Linked DNA regions of Canis lupus familiaris. The protein of the gene in region 2 interacts with the protein of the main gene of each other region in a biochemical or structural test. Links are inferred from orthologs where the notes say so. Each region holds a gene or a part of one and is shown on either strand. Other genes may lie near its edges. The genes, in order: HTR2A, ARF6, CYTH2, CYTH1 and ARFIP2.

Region 1 (4,595 bases), on a different chromosome or scaffold from region 2:
GAACATGAGAGACTCCTAACTCTGGGAAACGAACTAGGGGTGGTGGAAGGGGAGGAGGGCGGGGGGGTGGGGGTGACTGGGTGGCGGGCACTTAGGGGGATACTTGATGGGATGGGCACTGGGTGTTATTCTGTATGTTGGCAAATTGAACACCAATAAAAAAATAAATGTATTATTAAAAGAAAAAAAATAAAAATAAAATAAAAAATAAAATAAAATAAAATAAAAATAAAAATAAAATAAAAAATAAAGTAAAAGTAAAATAAAACAAAAATAAAAAATAATAAATAAATAAATAAATAAAATAAAATAAAAAATAAAATAAAGTAAAAGTAAAATAAAATAAAAAATAAAAATAAAATAAAAAATAAAATAAAGTAAAAGTAAAATAAAATAAAAATAAAATAAAAGTAAAATAAAATAAAAAATAAAATAAATGAAATAAAATAAAAAATAAAGTAAAAGTAAAATAAAATAAATAAAAATAAAATAAAATAAATAAAATAAAAAATAAAATAAAATAAAGTAAAAGTAAAAAAAATAAAGTAAAAGTAAAATAAAAATAAAATAAAAAATAAAATAAAATACGAATAAAATAAAGTAAAAAAATGAAGTAAAATGAAATAATAAAATAAAATAAAATAATAAAATAGAATAGAATAGAATAAAATAAAATGGTGCTGCTGCCCCCCCCCCCCCCCCGGAGGTTGTGATTCTGGACTGTGCAGTGGGGCAGGAGAGAGTCATTTCTAACACGTTTGCGGGTGGGGCTGCTGGCCCGGGGGTAACACTCTGGAATCAGCGGGAGCGCTTTTCCTCCGGTGCTCAGGAGGGGGGCAGAGCTGGGCCCCAAGTATTCCAAAGCTCCCCGAGGATGCCAATACGCGAAGCACCACAGGAGGCGGGTGCACGATGCATATGCTACGTGCCCTGTCGTTGATGTAGAGGGGCACCAAGGGGTCCCACAAACCCAAAGTGTTTTGGTGGCCGCGCCAGCGAGCATGCTGCACCGAGCACCTGACACAGGGCAGGTCACAGAGCGTCGCCGTTTCTTTACACAAGCCCAGGCCCACGAGGCTGGACGACCCCTGCGTTTGCAGACCCATCTCCCGAGTGCCCCCAGCTAGGCTTAGGCTTGCATCCTGCACGCTGTCCTAGCTTAAGGCCCTTCTCTCTGATTATATTTGCACACCCACCCACACGCACAAACCTGAGCTGAAACGAGAGCCTCGCCGCCCTCGGTGAGCTCGCAGCGGAGGTCGGCCCTGGGGCTCAGGTCTGCGGGAGTCGGGCTGGGGTGGGTGGGGGGCGGTCCCGGGAGGGGGCGCGGCTCCCGCTGCCACTCGCCGCTTGCCGAGCGCCCGCCGCCAGGGGGCGCCGTTGCACCCCGAGCGGGCCTCGCCGCCTCTGCTCCTCACCTGCCCCGGGGTCGCGCCCCCCCGCCCCCCGCGGCCCGGCCCCCCATCCCCCCTGCAGCGGTCTAGGTGCCCTTCCGGGGCCCCTGGGAGCCAGGCCCCACTCCCGGGCTTTGCCTTGGACGCGGCGGTGAGGTCTAGGAGGCGTGTCTGGGAACCACAGGCGAATTTGATGAAATCATTCTGGGGTGAAGGCTGAGCAGTGCAGCAGGGAGGGGGGGCTGGCCTTGCCTGGAGCGCTTTCCACCCCGTGCACCCGGCACCTGCTCCCCGTTGCCCCTCTCCTTCCCCCCTGCACCCCCCTCCTCCTCTCCGCTCGCTCGGGTGATGCATACACCTGTGTATTCTGAGCCCCCCAAGACCCAGCTCTTACAAAGCATTTCTAGCTCCGGGTGACGGCTACGGGCCTGTGTCAGCAGCCTAAATATATTTTTTCCCCTCCCTAAATGTTCTTTTTGAAAGAAATCAGGCTGTATTGCTCATAACTGGAAAAGAGCATGGCATTCTGCTCCCTGCTGAGGGGTCTGACTGTCCCCGGGCTGGTGGAGAGCGCAGGACTCATCAGTGCCTTCCTCACCGGTTTCCACCCTCCTCCCAGACACACTGCGGGGAGTTGATGGGAGATGGTTATTCTCCACGAGTTGAGGGGGTCATTCAAAGGCAAACTTCCAAATTAGCTACTGGGGGGTGAGGGGGGACAGCAGAAGCCGGAATAATTCATTCACTCTAAGGCAGAGGGTGCATATCTTAGCATTAAACCCAACTGTGTCCCACTAGTGTTCCCAGGGACCTGGGAAGGTCTTACCTACTCCTTTAGAAGTGCTGAAAACTGTGTGTGACAAAGACACAACCACAACAACAACCACCTGTTCTGTCCTGAAGGCTGGAAGATCTGGGCATACACAGAGGCGGAAAGCAAGTGGCTTCAGGATGACAGATAAATTACTGCCGGACGACTCTGTCGGGGGCACTTAAAGTGACTACGTTACAGTGTCCTTGTCCCAAAGCACAACACTCTCCGGTGATAATAGGTTGTCTGAGCTTTTCGAACGTGCAAGCTCACTTTGAGATTGGAGTAGTGTGACAGGGGAGCCCCTGGTCTATAAATAAACCCTGGTGGTCAGCTGGGCCCCTGGGCCCGGCTCATCTGCTCGGAGCATGCACATGCTGCGTGTACCCGGCGGGTACAGCTGGGAGGCTGCTGCCACTCACCATATAGGATGGTTAGCATGGACACGGGCATGACAAGGAAACCCAGCAGCATATCAGCTATGGCAAGTGACATCAGGAAATAGTTGGTGGCGTTCTGCAGCTTTTTCTCTAGGGACACTGCCATGATGACGAGTATGTTTCCAGCAATGGTCAGAATAATCACGACCGCTGTCAACAGAGCCGACCAGTTTTTTTCCTGGAGATGAAGTAGGGAGAAGCATGGTGGCGAGAGACAGCCCTCGCAGGAAAGGTTGGTTCGGTTTTCTGCATCCACTGTCCAGTTAAATGCATCCGAAGTGTTCGCGTCTCCAGCGTTCAGGTCGTTGCCGTAGAGCCTTGGGTCCCCGTTTGACGGCATTAAGGAGCTGGTGGTTGGGCTCAAAGGAGCATTATCCTCAAAGAGGACATCCATGTCTCAGCCGGAATCCGTAGCACACGAAGTCCAGAGAAAGTAACAAGTTAGAGCCTCGGCTGGCCATGCATCTCCCCGTCCCCTGTCTCTGTCACACGGAAGCGGGCGCACCTGCTGGGCTCCTGCGGTCGCCTCCTTTCTCCCATTGTCCCCCCCGGGAGCTGAACTGCAGGGACTCTTTGGATCTCCTTCCTTCACAACGTTAGTGGAGTCTTGTTGGGTCTCACTTCTTTCCTTTTTTTTTTTTTTTTTTTTCCTTCAAAGCAAGGTCAAAAAAAGCAGACTGAACTTTTTAACACAGACGTTGCAGAGTTTCGAGCGTTCAGGGAGAAAGAACGCTGGGATCCCGGCCGGAAAAGAAAAGTTTTGTGGTTCCAGGCGTCCCATGGGCTCTGCCTCGGTCTGCCGGTGACGCTGGCCCCACTGGTTGGGCCTCCGCAGTCCGGGCACGGCTGCGCTCCCGGGCGGGGGGGGGCGGGGGGCGGGGGCACCACCGGCTCCGGGACCCGCAGGTCCGGACACCCCGGGTCGCGGCAGGTGCTCGGGGCCGCCGTCCCCGCCTCGGGGCTCACCCGCCGCGGCCGCCGTCGGGAGCTGCGGCTCGCACCGTGCCCGGTGCGCAGGAGGAGAGCAGCAGTCGCGAGCAAACAGGGGCAGACAACTTCCCACGCGGGGAAATCCTCCTTGACATTGGGAACGTCTTGGCCGCGCGCCGTCTCGAGCCGGAGAGCAAGCAGGTGCGCTCGGAGATGCGACGCGGCGGGGCGCTTAGGGCCGTCCCCGGGGGCCGCACCTGAGCCCGGCTCCGCCGTCCCGCGGCTCGCGGCAGCTGCCCTGCTCCTGAGGCCGCCGCGCGGGCCCTGCTCCGCCCGCGTCACGCAGCATAATGGGGCGGTAATTGGATTTCTGTTTTGCTGACTTCAAAAACTGCAGGCGCGAGTGGAGCCGCTTGCAGCCCTGCGCGGTCTGGGCGTGCGGGCTCCCGCCCCCACCCCCGCCCCCGCCCCCGCCCGTGGGCTCGGCCCGGAGATCCCCACCTCCCCTCCCCGCCCCTGGGCTCGGCCGGGTCACCACTCACTGCCCGCCTTCCCGTGGGCTCAGCCCGTGGCCTCCCTCCCCCGCTGGGTTCAACCCAGTGACCCCCCCAGGGCTCAGACGGGCGCCCCCCTCCGCCCCCCCCAGGGCTCAGCCCGGCGCCCCCTCCACTCCCGTGGGCTCAGCCCCGTGACCCCACCCCCCGGGCTCAGTTGGGCGCCCCCTCCCCCCTCCCCCCCCCCGGGCTCAGCCGGGTGACCACTCCCCCCTCCCCCCCAGGGCTCAGCCCGGCGACCCCTCTCCGCCCCCCCCAGTGGGCTCAGCCGGGCGCCCCCTCCTCCCCTCCCGTGGGCTCAGCCCCGTGACCCCCGCCCCCCCGGGCTCAGTTGGGCGCCCCCTCCCCCCCAGGGCTTAGCCGGGTGACCACTCCCCCCTCCCGGCCTGAGGGCTCGGCCCGGCGACCCCCCCCCCCCCGCCCACATGAGCTCAGCCCCGCGACCACTCCCCCCTACCTCCCCTCC
Region 2 (4,765 bases):
TTAAAAAATCCCTCTGCACCATCAGGAGCCTACAACATAGCACCTTTTCTCATCTGCTTTAAGTAAAATGTGTCAGAGTTTTACTTTCAATAGTTAACTTTTTATACCTTATGCTTCTCATACATCTTTGGTAAAAGCTCCATTATACAATATGGCCAAAGCACGAAGGACCAATACTGTCCAACTATGTACCATGATATCCCGCTCCATTTTAGTTTTCAGACACCCTCCTGAACAAAACCCACTCCACCTTTTCCTGTATACTGCCTTTGCAGTCTACATTTCTTAAATTCCCTACGTTTAATTCCTTGAGGATCTCTAAAATTAATCCTTAAGGCTATATGAGAACCAGATGCTGCTCACAATTCTGTATCAAGCATTAACATTTGGTTCAAGGTATCATCATAGTGGTCTCGATAAGCTAGTTACGGGTCCTAACAAGCTAAGCAAGTAATCTTGCTAGGATCTGGATATCACCAGTGAGCACACTGCTTACCCTTGAAGAAAAATAAGTTTACATTCATTGTCATCTGTAGGTTCTTTCTTCATCCTACTTCCCCTTTAATTGTCATTTCTCAAGTCTACACATCATTCATTCATCACATTTCCTTCCTTAAAGGAGATAGTGTATTAATGAACCAACAGGAGATCTATTTGTATGAGTTAATCCTACAATCAAACAGAATTAAATACCTTTTTTATAAAACATCTTTTCCAGTGTTCTAATTAATGGAGATGTGGATCACTCAATTATAAAAAAACTTCTATCTTCAGCTTAATCAGTTGCTCTAATGTGAAAACAGGAATGTGTATTCTTTCAACTAGGTAGAAAATGTGTATAATTTGAATTGTTAAACGCTTTTATTAATGAACAAAGTAAACATTCTAGTAACTTTTAAAGTATTGGTCTTAGACATTTGAAATGTGGTAAAAGTATATATTCCAGTTTTGCCCCAATGTCACTGAAAATATCTACAGATATCTCATCTGTGTGTGGCCTACACCATTATTGCTCCATTTTCTGGAAAGAGTCTACTTTTAAAGTTAAAAAAGAGGGAAACACAGCAAAGTTGCTAACTTTTGCAGTGAAAAAAAATCTGTTGACGGGTTACACTTTCATCTTTTTATGCAGTGTAAGTTAGCTATGTAATAAGGAACTTGCGTTTTAGCCCTACTCATGCATGATGTATGTTTCAGAACTTAATAGCTGACATTTCAAAGAACTTCTTACATTACCTGTTTAACATACTGATGTGCAACTGGAACATATTACAATGATATTACTCATTATTTGCCACTGTAGGCTAAGTTTACTATACTGGTCTTAGATATAAAAGGTCACATTTGAAATTACTAAGTTAAAGGTAAAACTCATAAGGGAGGAGTAAAGGCCTTAAATATAAAAGACAAACGGCAGTTTGATTAAGCAATAATTTTCAGTTTACTAGATGAAACAGACTTGCAACATAGTCTGCATGAATGCAAAATAAGCCATCTACAGCAAGTGATAAGGAAACTGGGCAAAAAGGAAAAAAGCATACATTGCAAAAAAGATTCTCTCGAAATAAAAAAATCAAACCATTATTATAAAGGACTTTACCAAAAACTGCTATATTTCCCCCATCCCATTTGCTGGAAGTCAGTAAGAGCATCTAGCACTTTGTGGTCATGTCAAATGTCAGATCGGAGCATCCTAATGCAAAGCAAAAAAAAAGGGGGGGGGGGGGGAGAAAGAGAAACAAAAAAGGAAACCCCTAAACCCCCCCCCCCTCCCCAACCGTAGAACAGTAACTCCAGAGTTCAAATTCAAAAGAAGAGAAAGTGGCAATTGAAAGAGGTGATGGTGGCGATAATCCTATGAATGGGTTTCTGATTTCTCTCCTTCCGGGGGATAGGTGGAGAATGCTCATTAGGATTTGTAGTTAGAGGTTAACCATGTGAGCCCCTCATAGAGTCCATCCCCTGAGGTGGCACAGGAGGGCTGCACATACCAGTTCCTGTCCCGAATCCGGGTCAGGCCCAGTTTCTCCTGGATCTCGTGGGGTTTCATGGCATCAGGCAGGTCCTGTTTGTTGGCGAAGATGAGGATTATGGCGTCCCTCATCTCCCGGTCATTGATAATGCGGTGCAGCTCCTGGCGGGCCTCGTCGATGCGGTCGCGGTCGGCGCAGTCCACTACGAAGATCAGACCCTGGGTCCCGGTGTAGTAATGCCGCCAGAGCGGCCGGATCTTGTCCTGGCCGCCCACATCCCATACGTTGAACTTGACGTTTTTGTAAGTCACGGTCTCCACGTTGAAACCCACTGTGGGAATGGTGGTCACCGACTGGCCCAGCTTCAACTTGTACAGGATTGTTGTCTTGCCGGCCGCGTCCAGGCCCAACATGAGGATCCGCATTTCCTTGTTCCCGAAGATCTTGGATAGCACCTTCCCCATCGCGTCGGAGGAGCCGGGGCCGGGGGCATTCAGGTGTCCCGGGTCCCCTCAGCCAACTACGCCGCAGCCGCCGCGAAACCGAAACGAAGCCTCCCGGCCGCGAGGGCGCCCGTGCGGCCTGCGTGGGAGTTGCCTCCTCGGGGCAGAGGCCCAGGCTCGCCACTCACTCGGGCATCACCGACCGCACAACTTGATTCCTCCAGCCGCCGCCGCCGCCGGGGCCCTGAGTCTGCGCCGGGAGAGCCGCCGCCCTGCTGAGGCGCGGCCCGGCCCGGAACTGCCCTTCCCCCCGCAAGCGCCGCGCTAGCGCCGCCGCGGTTCCCGCTCCTCCGCCTTCTCTTCACTCGGCCGCGGGAGGTCGAAGCCCTCCGGCCCACCCGCCGGTCCACGAGCACCGGGCTCACCACCGACCCAGGCCACCCGAGAGTCAGCGCGGCTCCGGCGCCTCGTCAGGTCATTGATCCTCGCCGGGATCCGGTGCGCCGCCTGCAGAGACACAGAGAGGAAGAAGGGAGTTACTGCCGGCAGGCCAGAAGGGAGCGGAGGCCCAGGTGACTCGTCCTTCCAGCTCAGTTCGCGAGGTTACCTCAAGCCGCCGCCCTGAGCGCGGGCTCCCTCTGGCCTCCACCGCCTCCTCCCAGCTCTGCCGCTGCCGCCGCCGCCGCCGCCGGAAAAGGCGCCGAAGAAACCGCCTCACTTCCCCTCCCGATCACGCAGGCGCAGCAAGGCCGACCGTTCGGTGAGAGCGAGCTCTGTAAGGAGCGCGGCCCGCGCGCCCAGCGTCATGGGCGCCACGCGCGAGGGGGCGGGGCTACGGCGGCCTGGAGGCCTCGCGGCTGCGGTCAGGCCCCAGACCCGCGAAACTCGGACTCTGACCCGTGCCCGCCTGGCGCTGTACGCGGACTTTCTGCGTCCCTGTGGCGCGCTCTCGCCTCCCCCAGCCCTCTCGAACCAGAGCAGGCAAATCCACTGGGGAGCTCCCGAGGGCGGGGCCCGCGGCCAGCCCTCTCCCGCGGTGAAAGCCTCCCCCAGGCTGCTTCCGGACGTCGGTGCCCGCCAGGTGCTCAGCGAGTTCCCTTGGGCCCGCCCCAGCCTCCGCGCGTCCTCAGTCACCCGGGAAAGCCCTATATGCTGTTTGTACGTCTCCCAGCCCGTCCTTGGCCTCCCTCATCCCGCGTGTTCTGTGCATTTCCTGAAAGACACGTGGGAGGCCCGCGTTTGGTGTGGAGTCGGCCAAGCAGTGCGGCGCTTCTACCAGGCTTGGGTTTGCCAGGAAACCCCGCTTTTCGGTGTTCGAGCCCTGTCTTACACATCTCTTCGGGACCAGACCCTGTTACTTAAAAATGACAGTGTTAACCAGAGTTCCAGTCCCTTGCTGCGTTTTCAACTTTTTAAGGTGATAACTTTTCATACTTAAGTTAGTGTGTTGAGCAGTAACTTAACCACCTAGCTTTTCTTTAAGAATCCTAGACGAGGGGATCCCTGGGCGGCCCAGCGCTTTAGCGCCTGCCTTCAGCCCAGGGCGTGACCCTGGAGACCCGGGATCGAGTCCCGCATTGCGCTCCCTGCGTGGAGCCTGCTTCTCCCTCTGCCTGGGTCTCTGCCTCTCTCTCTCTCTCTCTCTCTCTTTCTCTCTCTCTCGAACGAACAAATAAATAAAGTATTTTTTTAAAAATCCCAGACAATAATAATCTTAGCACTAGGGTTTAGAGTCAGAAAGCCTGACTACTTTTGTGACCTGGATCTAAGGCATTTAACCTTGCTAAGTTTGTTATCTCATGTGTAAACCGAGTGTAGTGCCGACCTTGCTCTGTGTACTCCGTTTCAGAGTAAATAACAAAATGTTTGTGGAAGACTTTCGGAAACTTTTTTGTAGCAAATAGTTAGAGATCAAGTTAGACTTAAAGTAAGGCGAAGCCTAAAATAAAGGAACCAAGGGGAGGAAAAACAGGAAATAGGGTTTGTTATTTTTTAAGGAAGATGCTATAGAAGCATATGATAACATACTTGTTTCATAATATAAGAATATTTGATAATGGTAGATGGGTCAGGTGATAACCTTATAAGCTTCAGCTGAAATAAACTTACTGGAGTTGTTAATATTCTGACTGATCCAAGTTTACTTTCCATCTGCCTTGATCCATCTTACTTTCCACTGTCATAAAACTGAAGGAAGGATTTTGGAGTGAGAAGATTAGGGTTCAAAGTGTTGCCTGTCCGTTTTATGGCTGTGAATCCTTAGGCCTCAACCTTCCTAATCTTCATTTTCTTTATCTGTAAAATCAGACGAAGGATAATATCACTCATAAAAAAAATAGTCACCATTTG
Region 3 (3,344 bases), on a different chromosome or scaffold from region 2:
AGGCTGATTCCCCAGACAGGAGATATAATAACGCAGGTTCCCAGAGCTATCCTTGCTTGGTGTAAAGTCCCCAGAGGACCAGAGTCTGGTGGCTGAGAAACTGGCTCAACCAGACCACAGTCTTAGCCTCTTGGCCCCAAGTCCTCCACCCCCATCCCACACTCCCACCCAGCCCACTTCAAATACCAGCAACCCCTTGCCGAGCCCCAGGGACAGCTAGTCGGCAAGGCCTGCCTCCTCTTTTCCGGGCTCATCCATCCCCTGTGGTCCCACAGTAGGTCGCCCTACAGCTCGTACAGCTCTCTACTCCCCTTCCAAGCACTGGCCTCACTCATAACCCCTCAGATACTACCTGCCGCCCTCCAAGACGCAAGCCAGGTGAGAGCAGTGGGGAGCACCAGCACCTGTGCAGCTCCTGGTTGTCAAGTAAAATCCAGAACTTACAAATGCTGGGCCTCATCCCAGAACCTGTGCCCACCTGCATGCTCAATGCCACGCCATCCTAACTCCACACCCACTGATGCCACATTATACTCCTCCCTCCCTTACCCTGGCCTGCAAGCTCAGGGTAAAACCAGAAGGGACAGATATGGGAGCTGACCCGCTCCCCGCCCCCGTGGCTGCACCCTCTGACAGCATGTTCCTCACGTACCATAAGAGCTCCCAGCAAAGACTGGAGCTCCTGGCCCCTGGCATGCATGGGCCACCTGGCTGGCTAGCCCAAGCCCCTCAGCCCTGCCGACCCCAAGAAAGGAGGGGTCCAAGGCTGCGAGTGGTTAAATAATTAATAAGATTACCAACAGTGTGTTAATTACAAATAACGAGAGAGGAGCTAGAGGTGGTGAATTTTCCAAACAGAGAACCAGGATCCGCAGCCCCAGGGCCCAGGGGTCCGGCCACCCGGGTGGGGCAGCTCCGTAATAAATAATGGGGTTGGGGGCGGGGGTCAGGGCTGCTCCTGCTTCTTCTTGACAGAAATCCGTTTCTTCCTTGCCGCCAGCATCTCATAGAAGGGGTCCACACTCACAGCTGCCCTGCAGAAGGGGAGGGTCCAGGGTGAGGGCCAAGGAGCCCAGCTCCCCACGCCCTCTGCTCCCACCCAAGGACCCCGGAGCCCAGGCTCACTGGATCGACTTGATCCACTCCTCCTTCTCCTCCTGTGTCGGGGCCGAGATCCGGTACACCATGTGGTTCCCTTCAACCACCCGGCCGTCGGCCTCTGTTTTACAGGCTTTGATGAGCTGCCCCTTGTTGTTGGGGATATAAAGCTCAAAGCAATTCTGGGGAGACATGAGAACAGAGCGATGGCAGGTCAGAGCTGGCCCTGGGCCCAGAGGAGGTGCCACCATGGCAGGAAGGGGCACAGAGAGGGTCTTACCGGTTTTCGGGGGTCATCCACTTCTCGGATGCTCAGATTCTCCAGGGGGATAATTCCTCGGGGTTCCTTGTCCTGAAGGAACAAGGTGGACAAGACTCAGACTTTCCAGTCCTTGCTCAGCTCCTCCTCCCCAACCCCAGCAGTGCCTGTGGTTCAAGTCACTGGTTGTGGTACTTTGTCACAGCAGCGCTAGTGGACTGGTATAGCCCTCCTCCCTCAGACCCCAGAGCCTGACCCCCAGCCCCTCCTCCCAGCACCCCAGAGAGAAGCCCAGCTCTGCCCTCACCGTAGTGTACTCGAAATAGTAGAGGCAGTTGTCAGTGAGGATAAACCAGCGCCGCTTCCACGTCTTCACCCGGCCCCCTGAAAGGGAAGGGGTGGGAGGGGGCCTGGGCTCAACAGGGGGGACAGGGCCTCCGGGAGGCAGGGAGGGGACTGAGAGGCAGAGTGAGCGCAGGGAAGGCGGGGCTGGCAGGGCCTGGGATGAAGAAATGCGGGGGAAGAGAGACAAGCAGGGACAGGCCTTCAGGCCCCCCCCCCCCAGGATCCCGCCCACCCCCAACGTGGGGCTCCGCACTTTCTAAGCCTGCCTGTCTGCCCAGAGCCTGGGAGTCCGAGTCCCGAGTGCCCAGCCCCCTCCTATGGCCCAGGGCCATGGCAGCCCCTGGCAGCCCCTCCCGTGTCAGGTCGGTGTCAGGTCAGGTCGGCAGCGTACCTACCTCCTGGGGCAGACAGCGAGAAAGCAGGCAGGACCAGGCGAGGAGAGGGGAAGGCAGAGAATGGGGTGCCCCCCAAAGCCGCAGGCAACAGAAAGAGGGCGGGCCAGGGAAAGAAAGCACAGGGGGGTGGGAAAGAGAGAGGGCAGAGAGGAAGACGCAGGGAAGGAGAGAGGGAAGGGGAGGGGGGAAGAGAAGGAAGAAAACGAGTTACATCGACATGACCCTCTCCCTCCTGGGGAGGCTGAAGATCCTGAGCCCCCCCAACACCTCCTGGTGTCGCTGCTTGGTGCCTCCCCACCCCCGGGACAGGTCCTCAGCCGGCTGGGAAGGCCCTCCACTGCCAGAGGGAAGAGATCTCACCCCCAGAAGGTCATCCCAAAGGGAAGAGGACAAAACCCCCGGTGCTTGGCCTGAGGTGGCTGTGGGGACCCATGTGAGCTCCAGGACAAACTGGCTGTGTGACCTCAGGGCCACCTCTTGCCCTCTCTGGGCTCCAGTCTCCAGACCCACTTGCACCCATACCTTCCCACCTCAAGACGACCTGCCTCTAGGTTCCTTGTGGTCCCCAAGGGACTAGACAGTAACAGTTAAGAACGGCTTTCATTAAGCATCTTGGTGAACACAGCCCCCCCCCCTCCTTTGATCCAGTTCAACATGTGCTACACTCTGGTCAGAGATCTGGGCCCCAAGCCACCCCTGCCCTGTAGCTGCTGGACAGTGACCAAGCCTTAAAGTCCTCATCTGGGAAATGGGAAGCATTCCTGTGGGTGGGAAAGGTCTACAGGGGAATTAGCTCCTGGGAAGCTGCCCTGCCAGAGTTCCTCTTTCCCACCCTCTTGGCTAGGGGCACCTCCTGGCCTCCAGAGAAATCTGACTCTGGACTCATCTGGCCCCCACCCCTGGGGCTGATGCAGGAATCTGGCCACTCGCTGTGGGCTAGAAAGAGCAGTTTACACTTTTACCAGGACATCTATGCACCCAGTCAGGGCCCTGCTTGCTGCTGGGGAAGCCAGGTCTTGGCTCAAGAGCAAAATTCCACGGTGCAGGGAACACAGCCCTGCCTGCCCCGCCCCTCCAATCCCTGCACTGGGCCCTCCCGCTGCTCCAGCAGCCTCCACTGTCTGCTCCTGGCTGTTATTCCTCCTCAGCTTCCCTGTGTCTCCGGAGCAGCCATCCGCTACCTCTTCACTAAAGAGCCACAGCTAGCACTCCCCTGGTACCCACCATCCCCAGGCATGGCTCCCAGC
Region 4 (4,643 bases), on a different chromosome or scaffold from region 2:
ACCCGGGATCGAATCCCACGTCGGGCTCCCGGTGCATGGAGCCTGCTTCTCCCTCTGCCTGTGTCTCTGCCTCTCTCTCTCTCTCTGTGACTATCATAAATAAATAAAAAAAAAAAAAGAGTTGAAATACCCAGACTGAGGATCTGTTCAGTGGAGGAGGGTTTGTCTGGGGGCCAGCATTGTGCCAGTGCAGAGACGCAGGCAGGCAGGCCTCTGGACGTGGTCGTCTCGCGGTCGGGGGAGAGCCCGGCAGCACCAGGCATCCAAGGGCCTCCATCTGAAAGTGCCCTTCCTGTCCCAGAGAGCGCCTCCTCACCCGATGGTCAGTGTCTGCGTCCTTCAAGATGAGACCCAGGGTGGTGGTGGGCCCTCCCCAGGCCTAAGCGCCAGAGAACGCCACTAGGATTTTCTGGAAGGCCACACCACTTCTTTGGACTGCCCACGCTCCCTCCGTGCTCCAGTCCTCCGCTTGCCACATGGTGACGTACGTGTGACTCCTAGCGCCCCTTGGGACCCCGGGGCCGTGGTGTGACCAGGGAGGCAGGTGTCCTCACCTCCGGGCCCCAGCCCGCAGCACGTTCAGCAGGCGTTAGCTTGAGTTGAACACCCAGGGAGGACTCCAGCCTTTTGGATGAAGGCAGCGTACTCAGCACTACCTTTATTAAGACATCTGAGTGGGGTGTGTGTGACCGGTCGCTAGAAAACGGGGGGCGGGTGGGCTGTCTCAGGTTTCGGGGTGAGGAGGCCCGGGGAGGGGCCACCCGGGGCCCCGAGTTCAGTCTCTTCCCGGAGCAGCGGCCGTGGGCACTGAATCCTCTCACCGGCGTTCACGGCGAGGACTGCAGAGGGGACAGCCAGTGCCCTCCGTGTCCCAGAGCTGCGGAAGGACCGGCCTGCCTCCAGTCTTCATGCCGGGTGGCTTGTCACTGGGGCTCATTCTGTCTCCTTGGTGGTGCCGGCGGGGACCCCTGCTCTGATGCTTTGCATGGTGCTGCCCTAACCCCGCCACGCCGCCTTCCAGCCGCTGCATCCTTAACCGTCCTCGTCCTCCCCGTGCCAGTTCCCACGATGCGCCGGTGTAGGGACAAAGGTCAAACCAGTTCTAGTATTAAGAAAACCATCTCAGAAAATAAGAAAGAAGTATTGGCAGGTATCAGCAGAGCATGGCCCACTCTGTGTAGATCATGAATTTCCCTCTTTTCTCCCCATATATGTTCAAAACGTAATTGAATTTACTGGCAAAAATGGCCAATTGTAAACCTTTAAACAGCCTCCTCGTGTAGCCAGCAGAGGGCAGCACAGACGGCATTGACTGCATCATGTATTTTTTACTTTATTTTAAAAGGCGTCTAAAACTACTATGCCAACTACTTTCCGTACAGTTTGTCTTCTTCTTCTTCCTTTTTTTTTTTTTTGTAAGATTTTATTTATTAATTTGATAGGAGAGAAAACAAGCAGGGGGAGAAGCAGAGGGAGAGGGAGAAGCAGGCTCTCCGCCAAGCAGGGAGCCTGATGCAGGACTCGATCCCAGGAGCCCGGGATCATGACCTGAGCCCAAGGCAGATGCTCAACTGCTGAGCCACCCGGGTGACCCCCTCATTTGAATTTTTTGTAACACATATGTATTTTCTTTGTCCTCAGCCTTTTAAAAATTTTTCAGTTATATTATTTTTTATTTTTTGGCAAGATCCATTCCTGTTTGTGAGGAAAAACAGTACAAATCTGTATTTTTCAGGTAACCCAAGCAGAAGTAACTTCCCAAAGAGTTTGCAGTACTGCCAGGTGCCTGTGGATTTTCTTCTGCAGAGGATTGACGTCTTTGTCACCCTCCAGCCCAGCGCACAGCTGCTCTTCTGGGAGTCTTAGGACACTCGCATGGTTCTATGCCCCATGCCACTCTCGCCCTGGCAGCTCATCAGGAAAGATCTCAGCTGCAGAGGAGGGGTCCATCAGGAAGCAAAACCACTTACCCTCACATCCCAGAAAGGCTGCAGGGCTCCGTGGGCCTCTGTGAGTGGAGACAAGGGGTGAGGGTAGGGATTGGATGAGGGTGGAAGGTGTTCATGGCAGGCATGAAGGCTCTCAGGTCCCCTCCCCACATCCTGCAGCAAGGCAATGTCTCCTCCACTTTTGGTGGAACACAAAGGTTTGATTTCTGGAGAGCGCTATGGCGGCACAGGGAGAGTGAGCAAAGGTGTGTGTCCTTCGGTGTGGCCGTCCCACCCTTTCTCCCTCCACCTGGCGGCCCGGCTGCTCTGCCCAGGTTTGTAGCCCACACAGCCCAGGAAGGAGGTTGGAGGATGGCTCTTCAGGCTGATGGGAGAGAGAACCCACGGAGCCCCTCGCGGTCCGCGTGTTACCGCTTTCCTGCTTTAAGGGAGACCCAACGCTCCACAGGCCGCACCCACCACACGCCTTCTCACCAGGCTGCTGGTGCTGGCCCTTAGATGTGGAGGGACAGCCCACATCTTCACATCTGCTAGTGTGTGCCTGTCCTCGCCAATGTGCCGGCGTTTGAAAAGATGTTTGAGGAAACAGATTGTAGCAGGGCATTTTAAAAGCCACATACCTAGGAGTCTTAGATGTGATGTATTAATAAAACAAGAATAGGATGCTATCCAAAAGGAACATTCGGAGATTAAGAGTGGGCTCATGCGAGTTAAAAACAGCCAAAAGAAAACAATCCAGAGACTGGAAGATGAAGTAGAGAGCTGCCCCAGGGCAGGCCGTGACAGCACCACACACTGGGTGGTGTCTGCAGCGCTCTCTCGGGTGTGAGTGCTGCGGGTGTGAGACGGGGAGTCTGAGCAGGGCCGGCATCGGTGCTTCTTGCTCCCAGCTCCCTTCCTGGCCCCCAGGAGCCTGTCGTCCTGCTGTGTGCTCTCAAGGTATGAGGTACAAGGAGAGCCAGTTGGCCTCACTGGCCTCTTCCTGGACGGCCGCCAATCCCACACATGTGTGCTCCTTCCTCACGGCTTGATTGCCTCCCAAATGCCATCACGTTAGGGTTTCAGCACGCAGATCGGGGGTAAACGCTAACATTGAGTGCCTTGCAAGAATACTTCCTAGAAAGTGGTTCCACAAGGAGATGAAAAGTAGGATTCACAGTGGAGGTCCAGCGTCTAACAGAAACTCTAAACGGTGAGAGCTGAGAAAAAAGGGTAGGACATCATCAAAGATTATGAGACTTGAGAGTTGGGGTCTGCCTAGGGGCTAGCACAGTGTGTGCAAACGGACCCACACCTGGACACTGTGTTACAAAACCACACAGCGCCAAGGGTGAAGACCCTGAAAGCCTTCAGAGCAGGAAGATGGTCCCATAGAAAATTCTGGGGTTGGAATGGCACGGTCACTAACAGCACTGTGGGAGCAGAAGGCAGTGAGGGAATGCCTTCGCCATCGTGAGGAAGCGATTTTAACTTACAGCCCTGAATCCAGCCAGAGTGCCAGTCGAGTGTGGGAGGAGGACAGGGGTATTTCTGGACATGCAAAATCCACAGCAGTGATGGAAACCCATCCCTCGTGTCCTTCTTAGAGGATATGCTCTAGCAAAAGAAGGGATCCAGGAAGGAAGCACGGAATGAGAGAAACGGGAGGCGGCGTTTGGAAGAGGCAGAGGGAATTGCCAGGGTGCTGCTGTGAAAGCAGCAAGGCCGGGCCGGGAGGAGTGTGGAGGTTTTTGGAGGGCTGACCCAGAACTGGGTTGCTCCTGTTGACAGCGTCATACCTGGTGGAGAGAGCTTGGCTTTCCATCTGTAAGGCAGAGAGCTAAGCACACAGACACAAAGGAGACACTTCACGCCACTGCGTGGTAATTTCAATCCTAGTACGTTGTGTAGCTAAGCTGTGAGCAGTGTTTATGGAAGTAATAAACACTGATTTAACCCAAACCTCACGTGTAATTGTACGGAGCGTGTGTCAGGGCGGGGAGGGTGGGGGTCAGAGCTGAGTCTTCCTCTTCCATGGCAGGCAGTTGCTGCCCAGAATTGAGGACTCGGGAGCAGGTAGTGTGCTTGTGATGTGTGGAAGCAGGGAGGTAATCAGCAGAACAGAGAGCTGAAGGAGCCTACCTCCACGGAGCAGGATGCGAGCGTGGGGGCTGCAGTTGGGCAGGAAACTGTGGGTTGCTGTTTTAAGCCATAGGTACTGTTTGTTTTTTTATGTGATGTGTGCACGTTATTTTGGTTAAAGAGGAAACACTAGACACAAGGGGTAAGAAAAGCCTGGGGGGGCAGTGGGGTCGCATCCAGGAGGGTCTTGGAGCTATGATGAGGAGCTGAGACCTCGAGGCAGCGGATGGGGCCGTCGCAGACGTCCTTACCCTGCCGAGTGGCTCCTGGAGCTCGTGCCTTGGCGTGCAGCCCCCCGCCTGTGCCGTCGGCCCTCTCCGTCCTGCTGTTGTGGAGGCTGCCCTGCCTGCTGGCCTCCACTGGATCTGTCCAGGAGGCTGGAGAGTCCGAGGAGAATGAGGTCAGGGGGTCTTCTCCCTGCATGGTGGCTGAGGGTTATCCGGGCCCTGTCCCAGGGCCTGTCCGGTAGCCCCTGCAGCCGGCCGCCGCCTCCCGCAGACCGCAGGTGGGTAGGGCGCTCAGTCCTGATCACCCTGGGGTGCTTCACTGAGGCTTGAGAGCCTCCCCGGACTC
Region 5 (4,413 bases), on a different chromosome or scaffold from region 2:
CAGGGCCCTGGGATCAAGCCCCGCATCTGGCTCCCTGCTAGGCCCGGAGTCTGCTTCTCTCTCTGCCCCTCCCCCTGCTCATTCTCTCTCTCTCTCTCACATAAATAAATAAACAAAATCTTTAAAAAAAAGAAAGAATTAAGTAAGATGCACCTGGGTGGCTCAGCCATTGAGCGTCTGCTTTTGGCTCAGGGTAGGATCCTGGGGTTCTGGGATCAAGTCCGGCATCGGGCTCCCCACAGGGAGCCTCTGCTTCTCCCTCTGCCTATGTCTCTGCCGCTCTCTGTGTGTCTCGTGAATAAATAAACTCTTTACAAAAGAAAAAATTGTACCCACAGGCCTTGTTTTAACCAGGTGCCAGGAAATGTTGAGGTTTTCCTTCTACACATAGAAGCCAATTTCTCCACTGCCAGGGCTGAAGCCAACAGATATGCGCTGACAGGATAAAGGATGGGGCCAATAAAGCGGGCAAAGCTTCCGTGCCCAGAACATAAATCAAACAGTGCAAAAGTGGGTTTATTGGCTCCAAGAAAAGGAGCAATACTACCCAGCTGTCAGACAACCCCTCACTCTATATATGGGCTGCATCCAGCCCAAGGTCCACTGGCTCCTTCAGTTTGAGGGTCCATCCAGCGCCTCCCTTCCTAGCTGCCTGATGGTGAGGTTCCGGGCTGTTCTGCAGCAACACCTGGCCCAGCTGAGGCAGCCTCGTAGTCTGCGATGCGGCGCTGTACCAGAGCCGGCATGAGCTGCACGTAAGCGGCCATGAGGCGGTGGTTGGAATGGATCAGCTTCCCAGCACAGCTGTGCAGACAGGCCTCCTGGAAGGAAGACAGGGTGAAGCATTGGTGTCCACTGGTGTCCGTCCCATCCCTGGCCCAGGGGCAAGGGTCATGGAAAGGCCCGGGCCAGAGGTAGGGGCGGTGGAGGTTGGGGACAGTCTACGGCGAACCCCACCTAACCTCTTCAGCGTCCAGAGCTCGGTGGTGCAAGCTGGGCACGCAGCGCTGGAAGCAGAGTTCCGTCATCCGATTGTAGACCAACAGGAAGTCCCGCAACTAGGAGAGAAGGGGACAAAGAGCCCAGCGATAAGGGGGCACCTCGAGGCCGCGCCCTCGAGGTTTCCCAGGACGGCGCGCCAGAGCGCGACGTTCCCAACCCTCCGCCCTCCAGCCAAACGGACGAAGATGCCAGCTGAACTGATGGCCCCGTCGCGACTTAGCACCCACTCACGTTCCTCAGCTGCTGCTGCTGCTGCTGCTGCTGCTGCGGCTCCATCGCGCCACCGGCGCACGCACGTCACTTCCGCACAGCCTCTTGGTAACGCCCCGGAAGTGACCTCTCCTGGCTCCCCGGGGACTGAGGGGTTGCCTCAAGGATCGCCCCGCCCCTGGCTTTAACGTCATCTCCGCCCTTATAGTCTGCGACGTGGCCGGCTTCTTCTGCCCGGGAGGGGACGTCACTTCCGCCGAGTCCCTGACCTGCTGCTAGGATCGCGACGGGAACTGGAGCCCGAGGTCCCCGCGCGGCCCGGGCCTGGCGCCCTGAGGGGAAGAGCGGCCCGGCCCGAGGTGAGAAGGACATACTTGGGCAAGGGGAAGTTGAATGCACGAGCCTGCCCCGAGGGAAAGATGCTACAGAGCCCTGGGGAAGGATGAGGACACACCTGATGCCCAGGTGTGGGGTGGGGGGGGGGCGGGGACTAACACACCTGGGGGACATAACTGACTTTGGAAGGGATCACTATGTGCTGGGAAAATGTGGCTTTTCCCAGAGGCCAAGAACGGACACCAACTGATTCAACTAGGGCCTGCAGGGGGAGGGCTGCAGGAGGAGGGGGTGCATGGGATGGAGGAGGGAGAGACCACCTGAAGGAAAGGGGAAGCAACCCTAAGGGAGTGTGAGAGGCCAAGCAATGGAGAACATACCAGAGCGGGAGGAGTAGGCTCCTGAGCCCTGGAAAGGGGTTAATCTGATGGGAGGAAACAGCTGCATGGGGGTAAGTTCCAAAACAGCACAGACTTTCTCTCCCTTGGCCACTGCTGTGACCTCAAATAGTAGTCTGTTGAATGGTTGAACGCATGAGTGATCACCTGAGTCCTGGTGGGGTTGGGGGTCCGTGAGAAGATACTGGGGACCTGGGTGTGCATGTGGAAAGATACACACCCTGGAGGGGAGAAATACATATCTACGAGAAGAAAGGAGTGGTGGCCGAACCCCAGGATACTCAAGTCTTGGGACAACCTCTAAAATCTCTGAAATGGTGGGGGAGACTTTTCTTTCGGGAGTACTGGCTAGTTTCCAGAACTGTCTGTGTTGGGCTTTGCAGGGCGCTGGGGTGGAGACTTTGACTCCAATCCCTTCCCTAGCCATGACGGACGGGATCCTAGGGAAGGCAGCCACAATGGAGATCCCCATCCACGGGAACGGTGAAGCCGGGCAGCTTCCTGAGGATGATGGGCTGGAGCAGGTGCTTCTGTTTGATTCTTCTCCATATTGTTTCAATTTAGGAGTCCAAAATCATAAGCCCTGGGCTCTCACCCCATTCCAGGAGTTTTCCCCTAACTTATCTAACTCCCTCCAATCTTTACATATCTTCATTCTGATTCTATGCAGACTTCCCTTGTGTGCTCTCTCTGTGATGCTTCAATCCAAGCTTGTTCTCACCCCCCAAATGCTTCAGCTGCCCCAATGTTCCTGAAGCCCCCCTCTTCTCTGGCCTATAGGACCTCCAGCAGGTGATGGTGTCAGGACCCAACCTCAATGAAACCAGCATTGTGTCTGGTGGCTATGGGGGCTCTGGTGATGGACTCATCCCCACAGGTATGAATGATCAGAACAGGACAGGAAGCTTGAATGGACAGAGGGAGTGGAATGGTTCTGGGGAGTATAGGATATGCCTAAGATAGCTTGAACTATGTCTGGAGATTTTGGGAACTCTTGCTAGTACAAGCCCAATGGACTCTACTCAGCCCAAGGCTAGAGCCTAGGGCTGTCCAACTGCTCCCGCTTGCCATTTAGCCCTGAGATGTGTCCATTTGTCCTTTCTTTGCTGCCACCACCTGAATCACATTACGAACTGTTTTGCAGAAGTTCTCCTGCTTTGGAGCTTGAGACTTATTTGGAACTCTGAAGCTTCTCAAAGTTTTGCTTCAGATTCTCAAGTTTAGAGAAGCAAATAGCCCTGAATTTCACACTGACTAGGATTCCACATGAGAACGTCAATGAGATTTCCTATTGTCAGGAACCCACCATCCTTGACCTGCCACCCAATACTCAGCATATTTTCTTCTGTTTTCTCTGCCCCTGTACATCAGCAACTCCCTCCCTCCCCCCACTCCAGCCCCCATCACCATCTCAGGAGGAGGCCAGATATATATTGGGATTTGGGTTTCAGGGCACAAGGTATGAGTTCTTCCTAGTGAGTAGGAGAATTTCTAGTTTCTGCTACTTCAGAGAAGTCATTTTCATGGTGGGAAGTCGGTGGAAAGTCATTTCATAGTGGGGTCGGTGGGAAGTATGGGTGGAGCCACAGAGATGTCTGGTTATATCAGAGAGGCTGGTGTCAAAGAACTTGGTTCTTTAGGGTCTGGCCGCCATCCATCTCACAGTACCACTCCTGCTGGCCCGGGAGATGAGGTGGCTCGGGGCATCGCTGGAGAAAAGTTTGACATCGTCAAGAAATGGGGCATCAACACATATAAGGTGGGATTTAAGCACCTTTCCCTTTCCCCTTCCCCAGACTTCCCCTGGGTACCTTTTCCCCATCTTCCAGATTCCACTCTCCCATCCTTGTCTGAGACGAGGAGCCTTGGGATGCTAGGGTAGATACCTGTTGGGGGGGCAGGGTGCTAGGGTCTCTGACCTATTCCCCCACTTCCCAATCAGTGCACAAAGCAGCTGTTATCAGAGCGATTTGGCCGAGGCTCCCGGACTGTGGACCTGGAGCTAGAGCTGCAGATTGAGTTGCTGCGTGAGACGAAGCGCAAGTATGAGAGTGTCCTGCAGCTGGGCCGGGCACTGACAGCCCACCTCTACAGCCTGCTGCAGACCCAGCATGCACTAGGTGACGCCTTTGCTGACCTCAGCCAGAAGTCCCCAGAGCTTCAGGTGCCTTGGTCAGGCCAAAGAGGGTGGGGGGACTGGGCCCGGGCCCTCCCAGGCAGTCAGCCCTCAGCCTCCCTCCCTCCCTCCTGCAGCCCAGAGGGAGAACCCCTCCAGGGTAGGCCCAGCCCTACCCCCAGCAGCACTCACCTGTGGAGGCAGCCTAAGGGTTTGTACAGAGGTTCAGAAGTTGGAGGGGTGGGGGAGGCGGCACACTAGATGCCTCACAAGTAACCCTTCTCTGCATCGGTGCTCGGCCTAATCAGAGCCCCCCTCCCCGCCCCTTGCCTGCTGCACTAGCTTTCCCTG

What was found.
Region 1: the proteins of ARF6 (region 2) and HTR2A form a complex in vitro, tested with the Homo sapiens proteins (2 studies listed by BioGRID). The link is inferred for Canis lupus familiaris from reciprocal best matches to the Homo sapiens genes ARF6 and HTR2A.
Region 3: the proteins of ARF6 (region 2) and CYTH2 form a complex in vitro, tested with the Homo sapiens proteins (3 studies listed by BioGRID and IntAct, with this or other methods). The link is inferred for Canis lupus familiaris from reciprocal best matches to the Homo sapiens genes ARF6 and CYTH2.
Region 4: the proteins of ARF6 (region 2) and CYTH1 form a complex in vitro, tested with the Homo sapiens proteins (2 studies listed by BioGRID and IntAct, with this or other methods). The link is inferred for Canis lupus familiaris from reciprocal best matches to the Homo sapiens genes ARF6 and CYTH1.
Region 5: the proteins of ARF6 (region 2) and ARFIP2 form a complex in vitro, tested with the Homo sapiens proteins (2 studies listed by BioGRID). The link is inferred for Canis lupus familiaris from reciprocal best matches to the Homo sapiens genes ARF6 and ARFIP2.

The regions. Positions count from the first base shown.
Region 1 is NC_049243.1:4,415,452-4,420,046, reverse strand, and holds the start of HTR2A (5-hydroxytryptamine receptor 2A), read right to left. Parts: upstream 3,040-4,595; coding exon 2,628-3,039; intron 1-2,627. UniProt on the Homo sapiens protein: G-protein coupled receptor for 5-hydroxytryptamine (serotonin).
Region 2 is NC_049229.1:26,667,856-26,672,620, reverse strand, and holds the start of ARF6 (ADP-ribosylation factor 6), read right to left. Parts: upstream 3,186-4,765; 5' UTR 3,024-3,185; exon of another isoform or gene 2,924-3,023; 5' UTR 2,438-2,923; coding exon 1,910-2,437; 3' UTR 1-1,909. Other genes in the region: uncharacterized protein LOC119876490, read left to right, coding at 3,222-3,833. UniProt on the Homo sapiens protein: GTP-binding protein involved in protein trafficking that regulates endocytic recycling and cytoskeleton remodeling. GTP-bound form plays an important role in the transport of multiple palmitoylated proteins form the Golgi to the plasma membrane.
Region 3 is NC_049222.1:108,468,070-108,471,413, forward strand, and holds the end of CYTH2 (cytohesin-2), read right to left. Parts: intron 1,744-3,344; coding exon 1,665-1,743; intron 1,451-1,664; coding exon 1,379-1,450; intron 1,281-1,378; coding exon 1,126-1,280; intron 1,035-1,125; coding exon 947-1,034; 3' UTR 768-946; downstream 1-767. UniProt on the Homo sapiens protein: Acts as a guanine-nucleotide exchange factor (GEF). Promotes guanine-nucleotide exchange on ARF1, ARF3 and ARF6. Activates ARF factors through replacement of GDP with GTP.
Region 4 is NC_049230.1:3,507,355-3,511,997, forward strand, and holds the start of CYTH1 (cytohesin-1), read left to right. Parts: upstream 1-1,751; 5' UTR 1,752-1,883; coding exon 1,884-2,010; intron 2,011-4,643. UniProt on the Homo sapiens protein: Promotes guanine-nucleotide exchange on ARF1, ARF5 and ARF6. Promotes the activation of ARF factors through replacement of GDP with GTP.
Region 5 is NC_049242.1:30,303,336-30,307,748, reverse strand, and holds the start of ARFIP2 (arfaptin-2), read left to right. Parts: upstream 1-1,420; 5' UTR 1,421-1,571; intron 1,572-2,329; 5' UTR 2,330-2,371; coding exon 2,372-2,470; intron 2,471-2,726; coding exon 2,727-2,823; intron 2,824-3,586; coding exon 3,587-3,705; intron 3,706-3,888; coding exon 3,889-4,110; intron 4,111-4,413. Other genes in the region: TIMM10B (mitochondrial import inner membrane translocase subunit Tim10 B), read right to left, coding at 645-821, 963-1,058, 1,234-1,278. UniProt on the Homo sapiens protein: Plays a role in constitutive metalloproteinase (MMP) secretion from the trans Golgi network. May have important functions during vesicle biogenesis at certain cargo subdomains, which could be predominantly utilized by secreted MMPs, such as MMP7 and MMP2.